2 linked regions of the Arabidopsis thaliana genome follow. The protein of the gene in region 1 interacts with the protein of each later gene in a pairwise test. Each region holds a gene or a part of one and is shown in the gene's direction. Other genes may lie near its edges.

Region 1 (9,076 bases):
AGGTGACAAAAAAAATTAGAAAATCGATTGCTAAATCTATATATAGCAACTAGAATTTAACCCGCGGTACACCGCGGGGCTATATTGTTTACAAAAATATAATGTTACTTTTTTAAAGATTAACTGAAAATATATCATATTAATTTGTATTTTTCAATGTAGATATCAATCTCTGTATTATTTAGTATATGATTACTATTGTTTAGGTTTCAATTTTTGAAGTATTGATATGAAAACACATATTTTTTTAAGTAATGATGTATGGTGGATTTTAAAATTTTGAATATTTTATCTGCAGTATACCGTGGGTCGATTTTTTATAGCTAAATTTTTTAAGTTTCAAGTTATATTCGTTTTGTTAATATTATATGGTTTTTTGTGTTTACGGTTGTATAATTGTATTTTAATTGTAAATTTTAAGAATTCATCCGTGATATACCTTTCTTTATTGATATCGATCAAAACCCGTCATCCCATATAAACTCGTCTATATTATCTCGTTAGCTAAATATTAGTATTATAAAATCCAAGAAAATAAATTATTTTTGTTATAAATACAATAATTTTAGGATCTCACCCGTGTTATACCGTTTCTTGAATGATTTTAAATTTCTACTACTAATATAGATTTTAAATTTATCATAGAAAGTATATGATTTCAATTTTTTGTATTTTTTTTTATTTAAATAAAGCAACGGCTTAAATGATGATATATATAATTCTTTTTCTGTATGTGTATATGATTTTTTATGTGAATATTTTCATTATTATAAATTAGTATTTTTATTGTTATGCAAAATGTTAATATAAATATTTGCTATAAATCGAATTTATGCATATTTCTGGAGTAAAATTCACGGAATTTTGTTTTTGAAGATATATGAAAAGATTGTGTACAGATTTTTAGAAAGAAATTAAACAAGATATCGTTTGATTAATATCTTTTAAAATTTTGTAAAACTAAATAATAAATGCGAGTGGCAGCCATTGTAAATAAGTCTCAACTCCAAGATTTATTTCACAAAATGGCTGCAAAAATGTATATGTAGATGCTATAATAGCATCCATTGGGCGACAAAAGAAAACGTAAAAATATATTTTTTGGTAACTAAGTAAAACAAGTATATATAGAAAACATGTTTTGTTTTGAAATCTTTCTCTTACTTAGTTTTGCAAAATTATCACATTAAATGTTTTACAAGATAAGTTGGTGTAGTAGTTGTTTTGCGAGTGTGAGTTCGGTTTATCTTGGTATAGTATAACATCATCCGGTTTACTAAGGCTTTAAGTTGTTGGGCTGTTTAGTGTTCAAACATTTGATTAAACCGATTAAAAAGCTACTATACATTAACAGCCAAGGGTCGAAGAATAAACAAGACAGTGAATTTTTAAAGCTGTCGTCTGATCCACAGATAGGTGAAAGTTTGATTTCGTTATTAATTAGTGGGAAACAAATGGAGATTTGCTGAAACGTACTCTCGATAACAGTTCATATTCAAGACTCAAGAGAATCTCGTATATTCTAAGGAAGACGTACCTAAACAGAAAGTTGGTCCCAAAAAACGAGAGAAGGAATGAAAGATCAAGGATACATGTTTTATATACATGAAAAATACTAAATTTTAAAAGAAGTATTAAACGTTTTTATAATGTCACCGGAAAGAAGATGTAAATGTATTGATCAAATCATCTGACTATAAAAGTAATTCAAATCACCATTTTTTTAAATCAATTTGAATATTTGATGAATTTCCGTATATAAACAATCAGTCCCGCTCTTGCTGTATAAATGAAACGTCTATCAAACATTAGCTAGTCTTGTACTGGATTGCCTTTACAGACAAAAGATTATACTGTATATGTATGTGGTCTCATGCAAAAAAAGTAAAAATGATTCTGTGTACATCTGTTTTGATTTGCATATATATTGGCTTAAGTGGCAAAGGTGCATGCACTATTTCTATTTCTTTGATAAAAGTTTTATGATGCATGCATTCTTACCAGTGATTTCTTTAAAAGGAGAAGACATTTGTTTTGTAATAGTGACGAGAATGTAGACAGAAAAGGAAAGGAATCAGCACGTGTTCATCGCTCGACACGTGGCCAATAATAGCATTGGATTCAGAAAAAAAGAAAAAGAAAAAAGCGAAAAAACCTGTATAACAGGAAAAAAATACAATCTGCACCAGCCGGGAATCGAACCCGGGTCTGTACCGTGGCAGGGTACTATTCTACCACTAGACCACTGGTTATTTATTTAAAAGATTTATATTGGTATAAAACCTTGACCATAAAATGTTCCTAGTGCATCCACTAAGATCAAATTCATATTAATAAACAAAAACATAAAATTCAAACCGATATAGCAAGATTGCTGTTAGTTTTGTCTTCTAAATCTGATAAGTGTTCGTTATTGTCGAGGTTATGTAGCTAGTTTATATATTACTTGTACTAAATTTCAATAGGGCAATCAAAATATACGGATTTTCATGTGTATATATTTTTCTAAATTTGCGGTTTACAAAGAAAAGTTAGTGGTTGATCATATTGATTTCTTGAAAGGGAAATATTACCAATAAAATGATAAAATTGCCAAGAAAAATTAGTAGTACGATCGATAATTTAGTGATATTGGGATCCAAAGAGATGATCATGCACTTAGTTAAGACTCCATTTTCTGATAAGAGTTAAGTGGCGGTAGACCCACAAAGAAATTTGATTCGGTATTGTTATTATTGAGTAGAAAAACAAAGATGGAGTGTTTAACTAAATCATGTCTAATAAGTAGCAAGGTAGGTCAATATAACGTTTTACAAACGAAAAATAGCATTGCATATTTAATTATCTACCAAATATCTTAAGTCAGTCGAATAAACTAACTCATTATGTTATCAAATCAGCCGCAAATTGTGCCGTTTAAGTCAATACTATTTTTAACTTAGATATTTAGTGAGTAGACTTCATACTTGCATAGTCTAGTAGTTATCATTGTTTAATGCAATTTTTTGGTTTTAATGTAAACTTATACTACTATTTGGTCATGTAATCTCACTTTCTAAAAAACCAATGTAATCATCCATAATAGAAATAAAACATTTATTTAATATAATTAACTAATTTTTAAACATTAAAAAGAATAGATTTATTTTTATACATAAAATAATAGAAATATAAATATATATATATATTATTATAGGTTGTTTATTGTAATCCAAAAGCAGAATAAAATTTGGGATAGGTATTAAGAGTCATAAATCTTGAAAATAGAGTCATTAATTAATAAAGCTGAAAAGGAAAGATTAAAAAAAGAAGAAGAATCCTCTAAAATTGAATTTGGTAAGAGTCCACGTAGGTCAAGAAGAAGAAGAAGAAGATGTCGTGCTCGTGTTGTGTTCCAAACGAAAAGCGTCTATGTTCTCTTCATGTACCGTTTCTGGGTCCCACCCCCCTTTCCTTCTTCACTCTCCCCCCAATTCCTCCCTCTCTCTCTCTCTCTCTCTCTCTCTCTCACCAAAACGTAAATCTACTCTCTCTATCGCAGCAGACACAGAAAAAGAGAGAGCGAGAGACTCTGCTCACACACATATTTACTTCCCTAACTTGTCTCTCTCTCTACACATTCTGGTGAGTTTCGTAAGATTCAACAATCGTTTAGACTTCTTCTTCTTCTTCTTCTACAGCTTTTACGTTTTCTGGAAAAGAGATTTTTGGCTGATCACTACGTTGCAGGTATATGATTTCTCAAATGTGAGATGGGTTTGATGTTCCTTTTCGCTATTTCTCATCTGATTTTGAATTTTCTGCGGATTTTGTGAGGAATCGGTAGATTTTGATGTTTGTTCTTGTGGGTGGTTCATAACTTCATACATTTAGGGGATTAAAAGAAAATTAATTTACAAATTCGGTCCTTGTTGTGAAAAAGATTTATAATCTAAAAGACATTAACTTTACTCTCTCCTTGAACAAGTTTTGAATTTTGAATCTTTTTCTGATTTTGATTTTCACTATGTTCATAGGTAATTGCACAATTCTGGGTATACAAAATCCAAACGTTACGCATATTGAATTGAAAAATCTCGATTTTGAGTTCTGGGTATGAATAAAAATCTCACCTTTTTAATTAATTCTTACTCAGGGAAACAGTAATCGATGTTAAAGACATTGTTAGTCCAATGGCTTGTCTTCTTCTTCTTCTTCTTAATCGGTTCCGTCGTCACCGCCGCAGAAGACGACGGTAGCTTGTCGTTATGCAACTGCGACGACGAAGACAGTCTCTTTAGCTACGAGACAATCCTCAACTCGCAAAAAGTCGGCGACTTTCTTATCGCAATCGCTTATTTCTCGATCCCAATCGAGCTGGTTTACTTCGTGAGCCGCACCAATGTGCCTTCACCTTACAATTGGGTGGTCTGCGAGTTTATAGCCTTCATTGTTCTCTGCGGCATGACCCATTTGCTCGCTGGTTTCACCTACGGGCCTCACTGGCCTTGGGTCATGACAGCTGTCACTGTCTTCAAGATGCTGACTGGTATCGTCTCTTTCCTCACGGCACTCTCGTTAGTCACTCTCTTACCATTGCTTCTTAAGGCTAAGGTTCGTGAGTTTATGTTGAGTAAGAAGACCAGAGAGCTTGATCGTGAGGTTGGGATCATTATGAAGCAGACTGAGACGAGTTTGCATGTTCGTATGCTCACTACCAAGATTAGGACGTCTCTTGATCGACACACCATTCTATACACTACGCTTGTGGAGTTGTCCAAGACTCTGGGGCTCAAGAACTGTGCGGTTTGGATCCCGAATGAGATCAAGACGGAGATGAATCTTACTCATGAGTTAAGACCGAGGATTGATGATGAGAATGAGAATGAGCATTTTGGTGGTTATGCTGGGTTCTCGATACCGATTAGTGAGTCTGATGTTGTGAGGATTAAGAGAAGCGAAGAGGTGAATATGTTGAGCCCTGGTTCTGTGCTTGCCTCAGTGACTAGCCGAGGGAAGTCAGGTCCTACGGTTGGGATAAGAGTCCCTATGCTTCGGGTTTGTAACTTTAAAGGCGGGACACCAGAGGCGATTCACATGTGTTATGCGATATTGGTGTGTGTGCTTCCATTGAGACAGCCGCAGGCTTGGACTTATCAAGAGCTTGAGATTGTTAAGGTGGTGGCTGATCAAGTGGCGGTTGCAATCTCTCACGCCGTGATTCTTGAAGAATCTCAGCTTATGAGAGAGAAACTCGCTGAACAGAACCGAGCGCTTCAGGTTGCGAGGGAGAACGCACTGAGAGCTAATCAAGCCAAGGCTGCGTTCGAGCAGATGATGAGCGATGCAATGAGGTGTCCTGTGCGGTCCATTCTCGGGTTGCTTCCTTTGATACTTCAGGATGGGAAGTTACCCGAGAACCAGACTGTTATCGTTGATGCAATGAGGAGAACCAGCGAGTTACTTGTACAGCTTGTAAACAATGCCGGAGATATAAACAATGGGACAATCCGCGCTGCAGAGACTCATTATTTCAGTTTGCATTCGGTTGTGAAAGAGTCAGCTTGCGTGGCGAGGTGTTTATGCATGGCAAATGGTTTTGGTTTCTCAGCTGAAGTTTATAGAGCATTGCCTGACTACGTCGTAGGTGATGATAGAAAGGTCTTTCAAGCGATTTTGCATATGCTTGGGGTTCTAATGAATCGAAAGATCAAAGGGAATGTGACTTTCTGGGTTTTTCCGGAAAGCGGGAACTCAGACGTATCAGAGAGGAAAGATATTCAAGAAGCGGTTTGGCGACATTGCTATTCGAAAGAATACATGGAAGTTAGATTCGGATTCGAGGTAACTGCTGAAGGTGAAGAGAGTAGTAGTAGTAGTAGTGGTAGTAACCTGGAGGAGGAGGAAGAGAATCCGAGTCTCAACGCTTGCCAAAACATTGTAAAGGTTGGTCATTTGTGTTTTGTATGTAAATGTGCTAATGACTTGGTTTAACACTTTTATCTTGTTTTGTGACAGTATATGCAAGGGAATATTCGGGTTGTTGAGGACGGTCTAGGTTTGGTGAAAAGCGTCTCAGTTGTTTTCCGGTTTCAACTCCGGCGATCGATGATGTCGAGAGGCGGTGGATATTCTGGAGAAACGTTTAGAACCTCAACTCCTCCGTCTACTAGCCACTGATCATTGACGTCAGGAAGGGGGGGAGGGGAATGTAGTGCAAAAGAAAGATTTAAGGGGTGGAATCTGAGAATTTGTAAAAACAGTAGGGGCTTTAATGAGATTAACAGAGAGAGTACTAAAACGTTGTCGTTCGGTTGTAAAAACCTGAAAGTTAACTAGGTTTTAACCTATCGTGTAGGCAAAAGGTATGATGCAGACTTGTTGTAACTTGCTGGTGATAACAGAATTCAAAGTAAAAAAATGTGTCGGAGGATGTTCCTTACGGATTTGTGATTTACAAGCCTACCAACTCCTTTGTCAAATATTGTGACGTTTTAGATGAAGCTTATAAATTTATTGATTTCTGATCCAGAAACCGTATACAACTTGTATCCACAATATGTATCCAGGTACATATTAACTTCGACCTTTTAATTAACTTTTGTTTTTAAAAGGTTTATGTGATTTTTTTTTTTTAACATTGAGGTGATTCGTGCGACCTCTCTTTCTCTCTATTTATCTCTCTTTCTTTTCCTCCGTCGTCTTTTTTGGTTTGTTCTCTCTCTGTAGAATCTCATAGGAGCTGCCATTAGCCCATTCAACGAATTAGCTTCTCTTTGCTCTTTCTTCCACCATCTCAGGTTCGCTTCGATCTACAACCAATAAGCTTCTTCTATATCTCCTCCTTTGTTCTTCGGATTTTGCGAGGCTTTATGTTCCGATTACAGTCTTTCATTTTGATACCACACCGATTTTGATTTTCCCCGATCGTTGATTTCATCTGGGCTTTGTTTTGTTTTCCGATGTCTTTGATGAAATTATGAGGTTTCTCTGGATATTTTAGCTGATTGAAATGATATATTGCTTCGCCGCCCTCTAATTTTTCGGCTGATTTTTTTTTGTTTGTTTGTAATTTTACCAATCTAATTTTGAAAATTGGAAATTAGGGTTTATTGCCCATCGATTATCTGATGTGGGTTTTAAAGGGTTTCGATTTTTTAGCCATGAATTCGTTATACTCACGGATAAAATCTAGAAATGATTGCGGATTGGTATAGTTTGAGAGAGCCAGATCGTTGAATATCTTTGTCCATTTCAAATCATGACTTGGCATATTGTTTTCTGGGTATACATAATTGTGGGGATTACAGAATTCAAAATCTAATTTATTTGCTCCAATCGTTAATTGCTGATAGTTGAAGGAGAGAGAGAGCTTTGACGAAACAATTTCATACTGGGGAATGGCAGAGGCTGTTGATGAAGATTCTGGGGTTGGACGATCTCTAGAGGAGAGTTCAAATGGACAACACAGTCAAGCAGGAGAAGCACTCTCAGAGTGGCGCTCTTCTGGTCAAGTGGAGAACGGGACTCCATCCACATCCCCCTCTTACTGGGATATCGATGACGATGATGATTATGGTAGGTCTTTTCACTGTTTGGTTTCCCAGTGAGTAAAACTTGGATGTGGCTAATTTCAAACTGAGTTTCTTTATACTTTGTACAAGTGCAAATTTCTTGATGTTAACATACTTATTTTCATCTTAATGTTGCAAGGCAGAGATTTCTCTTTGCCTTAGTATCCGATGTTGAAAAGAATGCATGCATCTAAAATAATTGTTGGGGTGGAAATATTCTAGTCATGTGCTAGAGATCTTTATCTGTTTGTGTTAAGGAGTTCAGTTTTGTATAGCATCCTACTATGTAGTATTTCTCCTTCTTTGTTTGGTTTACTTTATTGTACTCTTGATGAATGTTTCAGCTGTGTAATGTGAACTTTATTATCTTCTTCAGGCCTGAAACCCTCTGAGTTATATGGACAGTATACTTGGAAGATTCCGAAATTTTCAGAAATCACTAAAAGGGAGCATCGTAGCAATGTTTTTGAAGCTGGCGGTTACAAATGGTACATGGCATCTGTTTATCTTTCTCATCCTTATATCTTGTGTCACAATAAAATCTCGGGATGTGATTGTTGAGGCTCTGTGTTGTTCTATTTGTCTTCAATGTGTCAGGTATATTTTAATTTATCCACAAGGATGTGATGTTTGTAATCATCTCTCCTTGTTTCTCTGTGTTGCAAATTATGATAAACTTCTTCCAGGTTAGTATTATTGTCCACTTGTCTGCATGGTCCCTTTTCTCTCTCTGGATACCTAGTCATGTAGGTTCTTTTGCTATCTTGGAGGCAGGCTGGAGTCAGTTCGCTCAGTTTACTATATCTGTGTTGAGTCAAGATCTCAAGAAATCAAAGTTTTCAGGTGATTTTTTCAGTCTTAATTTACGTACCCCCGTTTGAATATGCAGACAACTGAACTCACTTCTTACAGATACACTGCACCGGTTTTGGAAGAAAGAGCATGATTGGGGATGGAAAAAGTTTATGGAGTTGCCTAAGTTAAAAGACGGGTTCATAGATGAGTCTGGCTGTCTTACAATTGAGGCTAAAGTTCAGGTGATCAGGTAATGCAAGATTAACTCTTTGTAAAGCTATAAGTAAAATATTTACCACACTGTCCATTTTTCCATGCTGCCATTCGCTTACAGCTCCACATGTTCGTATGTTGTTCAATTAAACACATGTGATAAGATTATATTCTTTCATTTTTTTTGGTATCACTGATTATGCATTAAGGATAATATCCCTATAATTGGTCCTTGCAGAGAGAGGGTAGACCGACCTTTTCGCTGCCTTGATTGCGGTTATAGGAGAGAACTTGTTAGGGTGTATTTCCAAAATGTGGAGCAAATTTGCCGACGTTTTGTTGAAGAGAAAAGAAGCAAGCTAGGGAGGTTGATAGAGGACAAGGCAAGATGGACAAGGTATTTCACATTTCAACTTGTACCTTTTAACTCCTCCAGATTTCGGAAATGCGATCATAGTGCATTGCTATTTGTGATGATAAGTGAGCAGGAAGTAGCTGAGATTACTTCTTCTTTT
Region 2 (9,601 bases), 6.3 Mb from region 1:
AGTGGTCGGATCAGTACCCTGAGGAGAATGAACACTTGATTGGTGGTCACATCTTGTCAGCACAAGGCGAAACCAGTAGCAGCATTGGCTATGACAGCATCAAGAATGTAGCAATATTGGACATTGAAACTGGCCGCTGATATTACAAATTCACATGTATTTCTTTTGTTTGTAAGAAAAAAAAAACTACCTCTTTGTTGCTTCATCAATAATGCTTTGCTTCATTAATAATGATTTGAAAGAATTTTTATAAATCATCAATAACCATGTTTGTAATTCCCATTGGTATACTAACCAGTAGCCAATCTGGTTATAGGCAAACTTAGAAACTCTTTTGCAAAATAGCAGATTACCAATATCAGTTCATAAATCTTATTCCATATGACATTGATGTTATCAAAAACAACTAGATAAGAAACACTAGAATCTTTACAAAAAGAAATGCATAACATATAGAGAAAGTTATGATCATGAACCTGGTTCCTAAATTCTTCATCTCCTGTATCTCTTCATCGTCAATTCTGCTCCTTTAACCATATTGTAAGCTTCGTAAAGTGGCGGAGGAGGTTTCTTGAGCATGATTGTTATCCTCACAACCTCAAACTCTTTGTTCAACCCCATCAAAAACTCGTAACGCTGCTCCTTCTCTCTCGCTTCTTTAGCTAGTTTCGTACTCTCGCAATTGCAACCACCGCACTTACACTCAGGTACAGGAGCATACTCCGACAACTCCATCCAAACTTTACTCAGTTTCCCAAAATACTCCTCAACAGAATCACCACCTTGCCTCAACGTCGCGAGCCTCCGACGAAGCTGGTAGATCTTCAAATCGACGCAAGGAACGAATCTAAGTCTGAGATTTTCCCACGCTTGATGAGCAGTCTTCGCGTACATCACAGACTTTACAAGCTCTTCGCTCATCAAATTCATCAGCCAATACTTAACTATTGTGTCGCATCGTTTCCATGGATGATAGAGCGGCGAGGAAGGTTCTGGCTGCGGGAGAGTACTGTCAATGAAACCGATTTTGTTCGTGAGTTCGAGAAAAGAGCGAAATCGAAATTTCCAGATGACGTAGTTGTCTTCGGCTTCGCTGAGTTTTTCGATAGAGAAATCGGAGGGTTGATTAATATCTGGAGGGAGATAATACGGTGAATCGGGGTCGGATAATGGAGATACGCTCTTGATAGTTTCCGCCATTGTCGTCACTGAGCTCTGCTTCTAAAACTCTAGGGCTTGCCCTTTTTTATCCCTTTCGATTTTGACTAACATTAAACAAATCATTTTCAAAATGAGAAAGAGAAAAAAAAAAAAAAAAAAAGATAAAGAGTTGGGCTTAATGGGCCTTGAGTTTCCCTCCGGAGCCCAACAAAGCCCCTAGGGAAGCTAGCGTCGATTGCAAGAAACGCATATGCTTCTTTCCAACGTTTTGATTTGTGGATACTAGAGAGGATGTCAATAAACATGATTGGTCCAAGCAAACAGTTGATCTTCCCTTCCCTTTGGTTGATATGAGTTCCCTGGCACCAACAAGGTTGGTGAAATCATTTCCCCCAAAATGTATACCACCCATTCTTCAACTTTCCTTCTTCATAATGGACTCATACACGATATGTGCGTCTCTATCTCACCCGAACCTTGTTTTTCTTCAAGGACCTTAATGTGTAAGAGCTTGACAGACTCTGTTTTTTTCTTCTTTGAATCAATATATAAGCGTTGGCTTTTCAACATCAAGCAAACTAGTTTTTTATCTTACCATTGATGATTTGCATTTTCTGACATGTGTTATTTCTTTTTATTGTTGTTCATATTTTGAGTGTTTTGTTTGTTTTTGCTCAGAAGGTATTATATGCACAAGATTTCATTGAACTGTATGCTGCAGATAATCATCGAGAAGCTCGTTTATCTATGAGGATTAAGCCATTGTGGAAGTTTTGGAAAACCTAATCTTAACTATCATTTGTCTTAACTACCAATAGGTCTAATTCTAAAAGACAGTGGAAATAAAAAAGCAGGGAAGAGAAGGGTTAGGTGAAGGTGGTCTACATAATTTGCCTGGAAATCAAGAAAAGTAAGAGAAGGATATTGGAGCGGACCATAGCACATGAAGATGAAACATTCTAATGGGGCTCCCATTTTAAAAGGGTCCCACAGAAATTTTATTGTAATTAAATATACATATATATATATATTGATTTTTAATAGGAGAAATAGTTAGTTTTATACATATTAATCTTAAATAATAGTGTGATCCAAAATATTTATAAATCTAACATACAATTAAATAAATAATTCAGAGTTTTGTTTAAATTGGTTTCTATTTACTCTATAGTTTTAAAGACAAAAGTACTTTGTTTTCGTAATTTAAATGGCCCGAATTTCATTGGTCCGGCTCTGTAAAATAATATTTACTATTGCAGATTCCTGCAATTATTGGGAAAATGGGGACTAGTCAACGGAAGCAAGTCAAGAGAACATATCAAGAATGGAGTGTGTTTTCTTAGCTTTAAGAAGCAGATGCTACGGAGAGATGAGAGAAAACTCAAAGAGAAACAAATTTAGTGAGACAAAGAGAGAAGGAGAAGATGAAGTTGCAAGAGGGTCTGATCTTGGTGGCATAATGCTTTATGACTCAAAATGTCTAAATGTGGGGAAAAAAACAAGTCGTAATAAAAGCATCATAAGAAAACAGAGCATGTTGTGATCAGGATTCAGGAGTCTCAATTCCTATATCGTCATTTTAAAAGGCAATTTTCATATTTTGAGCGTGAAATTAACTGTTAAGAAAAAGAGTAAATTTGCCTTGTAATATCGAGAAAAGAAGAGAGGACCGAGACTGAAGTTGACTTAAGAGGGTCTTCATAATTGAAGATTCCTTGCAAGTTGCAACTGTCTTAATCTTTGAATAGTAAGAAAATAAGTGTCACTGTTAACAAAATTAAATCGGTTTCCCCACTAACGAAAAAAATATCAAGAATGACGAGAAGACCAAGACCTATAGTTGTCACTGTTTAAATACTATACAGGAATATGCAGCAAACGTCCTCTTCACGCCTCATGGGTTACATTGGTTGTGTAGTTGAATTTTCGTCTTCTTGCATTATATGACAAAATGGGAGCGGGCCTGCGAAAATGAGTGAAGAGAACATTTCATATACAGTTGTTTCTAATAAGAAAAAGGAGATTAGCGAAAACTCAAAACAGGAACAAAGTTAAAAGAGTGAGAGAGAAAGAAAGAGAGAAGATGAAGGTACAGGAGGGTTTGTTCGTGGTGGCTGTTTTCTACCTTGCTTATACGCAGCTAGTCAAGGGGCAACCTCGCAAGGAGTGCCAAACTAGATGTGGCAATGTCGCAGTTGAGTACCCTTTTGGTACTTCTCCAGGTTGTTACTATCCCGGAGATGAAAGTTTCAATCTTACTTGCAACGAGCAAGAGAAGCTCTTCTTTGGCAACATGCCAGTCATCAACATGTCTCTCAGCGGCCAGCTTCGTGTTCGGCTAGTTAGATCCAGAGTTTGCTACGATAGTCAAGGAAAACAGACTGACTACATTGCCCAGCGGACCACCCTGGGTAATTTCACTCTCTCTGAACTTAACAGATTTACTGTAGTAGGTTGTAACAGTTACGCATTTCTCCGCACATCTGGAGTTGAAAAATACTCAACTGGATGCATATCAATATGTGATTCTGCCACAACGAAAAACGGATCATGTTCTGGTGAAGGTTGCTGCCAGATCCCTGTCCCTAGAGGATACTCTTTTGTCAGAGTAAAACCACATAGCTTTCACAACCATCCTACTGTGCATCTGTTTAATCCTTGCACCTACGCCTTTCTCGTTGAAGATGGTATGTTTGACTTCCATGCTTTGGAAGATCTCAACAATCTGCGAAATGTTACTACGTTCCCTGTAGTACTAGATTGGTCTATCGGAGACAAGACTTGCAAACAAGTAGAATACAGGGGCGTGTGTGGTGGTAACAGCACATGTTTCGATTCTACTGGTGGAACCGGGTATAACTGCAAATGTTTAGAAGGTTTTGAGGGGAATCCATACCTTCCAAACGGTTGTCAAGGTACTTTAACTTGTTTTCTGTTTTATCACTTCTTTTAATCGTTTACTTCATACATGCTCTTTTTCCTTGGCCAGACATCAATGAATGTATTAGTAGTAGACATAACTGTTCGGAGCATAGTACCTGTGAAAACACGAAGGGGAGCTTCAACTGTAACTGCCCATCTGGTTACCGCAAAGATTCCCTTAATAGCTGTACTCGTAAAGTCAGGCCTGAATACTTTAGATGGACTCAAATTTTTCTTGGTATGTTCCCCTCACTGGTTTCGGATACTTTCCTTTTAAAAAACTAGCTCTAATTACCTAGGTGTGATGTGATCAGGAACCACCATCGGCTTCTCGGTTATCATGCTTGGGATTAGCTGTCTACAACAGAAAATTAAGCACCGGAAGAACACAGAGCTCCGACAAAAATTCTTCGAGCAAAATGGTGGAGGCATGTTGATACAGCGAGTCTCGGGAGCAGGGCCATCAAATGTTGATGTCAAAATCTTCACTGAGAAAGGAATGAAGGAAGCAACTAATGGTTACCATGAGAGCAGAATCCTGGGTCAGGGAGGCCAAGGAACAGTGTACAAAGGGATATTGCCGGACAACTCCATAGTTGCTATAAAGAAAGCTCGGCTTGGAAACCGTAGCCAAGTAGAGCAGTTCATCAACGAAGTGCTAGTGCTTTCACAAATCAACCATAGGAACGTGGTCAAGGTCTTGGGGTGTTGTTTAGAGACAGAAGTCCCCTTGTTGGTCTATGAGTTCATTAACAGTGGTACCCTTTTCGATCACTTGCACGGTTCCTTGTATGATTCTTCACTTACATGGGAGCACCGTCTGAGGATAGCAACAGAAGTAGCAGGAAGTCTTGCATATCTTCACTCTTCTGCTTCTATTCCAATCATCCACCGAGATATCAAGACTGCTAATATTCTCCTGGATAAAAACTTAACTGCAAAAGTAGCTGACTTTGGTGCATCAAGATTGATACCGATGGATAAAGAGCAGCTCACAACAATAGTGCAAGGCACTCTAGGTTACCTAGACCCAGAATATTACAACACAGGGTTGTTAAACGAAAAGAGCGATGTTTATAGTTTTGGGGTCGTCCTAATGGAACTGCTCTCAGGTCAAAAGGCATTGTGTTTCGAAAGACCACATTGCCCAAAAAATCTTGTGAGTTGTTTTGCTTCTGCCACAAAGAATAATAGGTTCCATGAAATTATTGATGGGCAAGTGATGAATGAGGATAACCAGAGAGAGATCCAGGAAGCTGCAAGAATTGCTGCAGAGTGTACAAGGCTAATGGGAGAGGAAAGGCCAAGGATGAAAGAAGTAGCTGCAGAGTTAGAGGCCTTGAGAGTTAAAACAACTAAATATAAGTGGTCGGATCAGTATCGTGAGACAGGGGAGATTGAACACTTGCTCGGCGTTCAAATCTTGTCAGCACAAGGCGAAACCAGTAGCAGCATTGGCTATGACAGCATCAGAAATGTAACAACATTGGACATTGAAGCTGGCCGTTGATATTAATGCTCTGACAAAATCACATGTATATCTTTTGTTTGTAAAAAAAGAAAGTCATTTCCTTGTTGCTTCATCAATAATGCTTTGACAGATTTGTTTGTACATCATCAATAATCATGTTCATATTTTCCTTTACTTGGTATACTAACCAGTAACCGATCTGGTTATTGGCAAATTTAAAACTCTTGTGTTAAATTTTAGTTCATAAAAATCTAATTCCATATGAGATTGATAATATACAGATATAGCTTCAAACACATCTCAATAAGAAACACTAGAATCCCAAAAAAAAACATAGGCAAAGAAGAGAAAAGTTATGATCATAAACCTGCTTCCTAAATTCTTCATCTACTGTACCACTTCATCATCGATTCTGCATCTTTGACCATAGCGAAAGCTTCGTGAAGTGACGGAGGAGGTTTCTGGAACATGATTTTTGTCGTCACAGCCTCGAAGCCTTGGTTCAACTTCAACCCCATCAAAAACTCGTAACGCTGCTCCTTCTCTCTCGCCTCTTCAGCTCGTTTAGTACACTCGCAATTGCAACCACCGCATTTACACTCCGGTATAGGAGCATACTCCGACAACTCCATCCAAACTTTACTCAATTTCCCAAAATACTCCTCAACAGAGTCACCACCTTGCCTGAGCGTCGCGAGTCTCCGACGAAGCTGATAAATCTTCAAATCAACACAAGGAACGAATACACGTCTGAGATCTTCCCACATTTTATGAGCAGTCTCCGCGTACATAACAGATTCTAGAAGCTTATCGGTCATCGAATTCATCAGCCAATACATAACCATTGCGTTGCATTGTTCCCATGGCTGATAGAGCGGAGAGAAAGGGTCTGGCTTCGGGAGAGTACCGTCGATAAACCCGAATTTTTTCGTGACTCGGAGGAAAGAGCGAAATCGAATTTTCCAGGCGACGTAGTTGTCTTCGTCTTTGCTGAGTTTTTGGATAGAGAAATCGGAGGGATGATGAATATCGGGAGGGAGATAATACGGTGAATCGGGGTCTGATGTTGGAGATACGCTCTTGATAGTTTCCGCCATTGTCGTCGCTGCTCTGAGAGTCTCTCTCTGCTTCCAAATCCTAGGGCTTGCTTTGTATCCCTTTCGATTTTGACTTTTTTAGTCTCAAATAAAGAAATAATTTTCCAAAATAAGAAAAGTCGCAATTTTTTGTAAACAGTTGGGCTTAATGGGCCTTGTATTTCCCCTCCCTAGCCCAAAGTTTCAGGGATTACCTTACCCATTAAAGGACCCCGCGCATCATTGGGATATGATCTTGTTGGTCATTAATCAAAGCGTTGAACCTGGTGTCTTCACATGACCTGTATCTTGGTTTTGGAGGACAAGAAACATCAAAAACACGTAATCAGTTTACCAAAGCTCCTTATTACCGTGTAACCAAGGGACTTTGCATCTATGGTTCCATCTATTATGGTGCTTGGGCCCCTAGACTAAGAATGGATCCGGTGAATGGTGATTGTGTGTTTTCATGTTAGATATGAGAGGCTAAGTTTTATCAAAGTGCCTAGGGATGTTTTGGTTCGGGAGTGTGAATCAATATTGATAGAATACAAAGGGAAGTTAGCTTCCATTGCTAGAAACCCTTTAAGCTTCTCTAGTTTTGATTTGTGGATACTAGAGAATGTCAAGAAACATGTTGGTCCAAGCAAACATTTGAGCTTCCTTTCCCTTTGGTCAATATGACTTCTCCTGGCACCAACAAGGCTGGTGAAATCATTTTTGCCCCAAAATCTCTCCCACCCATTCTTCAACCCTTCTTCATTTTCTAGTACAATGTAGGAAAAAAGACATCAGAAGAGTTAGGCTCCATGGAATTGCAGACGAGAAAGAGTTTTGTCGCCGATGTGGACTCAATGACTCATACACGATATCTGCGTCTCTATCTCACCCGAACATGTTGAAACTATTGCCTCTTTGTAATGTGTTTTTCTTTAAGGACCTTAATGTAGGAGAAAGTGGGGACAAGTCAACGGAACCAAGTCAAGAGAACATCTCAAGAATGGAGTGTGTTTTCTTATATTTAAGAAGCAGATGCTTTGGAGAGATGAGAGAAACCAATTTAGAGAGAAAAAGAGAAGGAGAATATGAAGTTTGCGATTGAGGGTACAGGAAAGGCCAAGGATGAACGAAGTAGCTGCAGAGTTAGAGACCTTGAAAGTCAAAACAATTAAAACATAATCAGTATCCTGAGACAAGGGAGATTGAACACTTGCTCGGTGTTCGAATATTATCAACACAGGGAGATACCAGTAGCCGTAGTTATGACAGCATCAAGAATATTGGACATCGGAGCTCTGACAAATTCACACATGTCTTTTGTTTGTAAAACATGAATCCTACTTCTTTGTAATTGCCTCATCAAATTATGTATTGAGAGAATATTTTGTGCATCATCTATAGTTGTTATACTAACCAGTAGTCAAATAACCAAATTTAGAGCTCTTATGCAAAATTTCAGTTGACGAATCTAATTCCATATGACATTGATAATGTACCAATATGGATTCAAAAAACACGAAAACACTTCAAAAAGAAACACTATAAAAGCATAAAAAGTTAAAATCACGGACCTGCAAATTCCTAAATTCTTCCTCCCATTTTCCACTTCATCATCGCTTCTGAATACACAACCATCTCATAAGCTTGGTAAACAGACGGAGGAATCTTCTTGTGCATGACTTTCATTTTCACATAGTCAAACTCTTTGTTCAAACCCATCAGAAACGCGTAACGCTGCTCTTTCTCTCTCGCCTCTGTAGCTCGTTTCTCACTCTCGCAATCGCAACCACCGCACTTACACTCCTGCACAGGATCATACGCCTTCAACTCCAGCCAAGCCTTACTCAATTTCCCAAAATACTCCGCCACAGAGTCACCACCTTGCCTCAGCGTCGCGAGTCTCTGACGAAGCTCGTAGATCTTAAAATCAATACATGGAACGAATATACGTCTGAGATCTTCCCATGCTTTATGCACAGTCTCTGCTTGCAACACATGGTTTTGAAGCGTATCGGTCACGGTATTACTCAGCCAATGCAAAACAATCGCGTTGCATTGTTTCCATGGCTCATAGTATGGAGAGGAAGGGTCTGGTTTTGGGAGAGTACCGTCGATGAACCCGGTTTTGTTCGTGAATTGAAGGAGATCGAAAAATCGCAGTTTCCAAATGGCGTAGTTGTCTTTAGCTTCGCTGAGTTTATCGATTGCGGTATTGGTGTGCATGTTGAATTGGTGAAGATAATCTGGATTGAAATAATAGGGTGATTTGATATCGAGTGTGGGAGATAATAAGCTGATGATAGTTTCCGCCATCGTCGTCACTGCTCTGACTAACTCTGAGCTCTGCTTCTCTAATTCTAGGGCTTTGCTTCGTATTTATCCACTTCGATTTTTCACTTTTTTAAGTCTATAATAATTTTAAATCAGATGGGCTTCAATGGGCCTTAGATTTTCCATTCAAAACCCAAATATTGAGCGTCAAGATTTTTACATTACAAGCATGACGTCACACAAATGATTCGTGTATGTTTATTTTTTGTGTGTCTCTTTGCTTACTTTAAATAAATGGCTCATTGCTTAAAATATTAGAATCTAAAGAAAGCATAAAAAGAAAATTTATGATCATCAACATGCGCCTAAAGTCTTAGCGAGGTCAACTTCATCTGCCATTCTGCTTCTTCAACCATATTATAGGCTTCGTGAATAGATGAAGGAGGTTTCTTGAGCTTGATTTTTGATTTCTTAATGAGATCTTTGTTCAAACCCATCAGAAAAGCGTAACTCTCCTCCTTATCTCTCGCCTCTTTTGCTCGTTTAGTGATCTCGCACACTCTTTAACAGGAGCATACTCCGACAACTCCAGAAAAGCATTGCTCACTTTTTCGAAATACTTCTTTACCGAGTCACCATCTTGACTCAGCTCCATGATTTTCCGACGAGTCTGGTAGATCTTCAAATCAACGCTTGGGAC

The links. The genes of interacting proteins can lie anywhere in the genome.
Region 2: the proteins of ERS2 (region 1) and WAK2 interact in a protein complementation assay, tested with the Arabidopsis thaliana proteins (one large-scale study listed by BioGRID).

What each region holds. Positions count from the first base shown.
Region 1 is NC_003070.9:1,152,199-1,161,274, reverse strand, and holds ERS2 (ethylene response sensor 2), read left to right. Parts: upstream 1-3,461; 5' UTR 3,462-3,729; intron 3,730-4,135; 5' UTR 4,136-4,149; coding exon 4,150-5,925; intron 5,926-5,997; coding exon 5,998-6,159; 3' UTR 6,160-6,511; downstream 6,512-9,076. Other genes in the region: AT1G04300 (TRAF-like superfamily protein), read left to right, coding at 7,380-7,557, 7,930-8,041, 8,151-8,239, 8,304-8,396, 8,466-8,598, 8,800-8,958. UniProt on the Arabidopsis thaliana protein: Ethylene receptor related to bacterial two-component regulators. Acts as a redundant negative regulator of ethylene signaling.
Region 2 is NC_003070.9:7,441,753-7,451,353, forward strand, and holds WAK2 (wall-associated kinase 2), read left to right. Parts: upstream 1-2,996; 5' UTR 2,997-3,244; coding exon 3,245-4,076; intron 4,077-4,150; coding exon 4,151-4,321; intron 4,322-4,397; coding exon 4,398-5,593; 3' UTR 5,594-5,937; coding exon of another isoform or gene 5,938-6,651; 3' UTR 6,652-6,731; downstream 6,732-9,601. Other genes in the region: WAK1 (cell wall-associated kinase), read left to right, coding at 1-140; AT1G21280 (Copia-like polyprotein/retrotransposon), read right to left, coding at 5,938-6,651. UniProt on the Arabidopsis thaliana protein: Serine/threonine-protein kinase that may function as a signaling receptor of extracellular matrix component. Binding to pectin may have significance in the control of cell expansion, morphogenesis and development.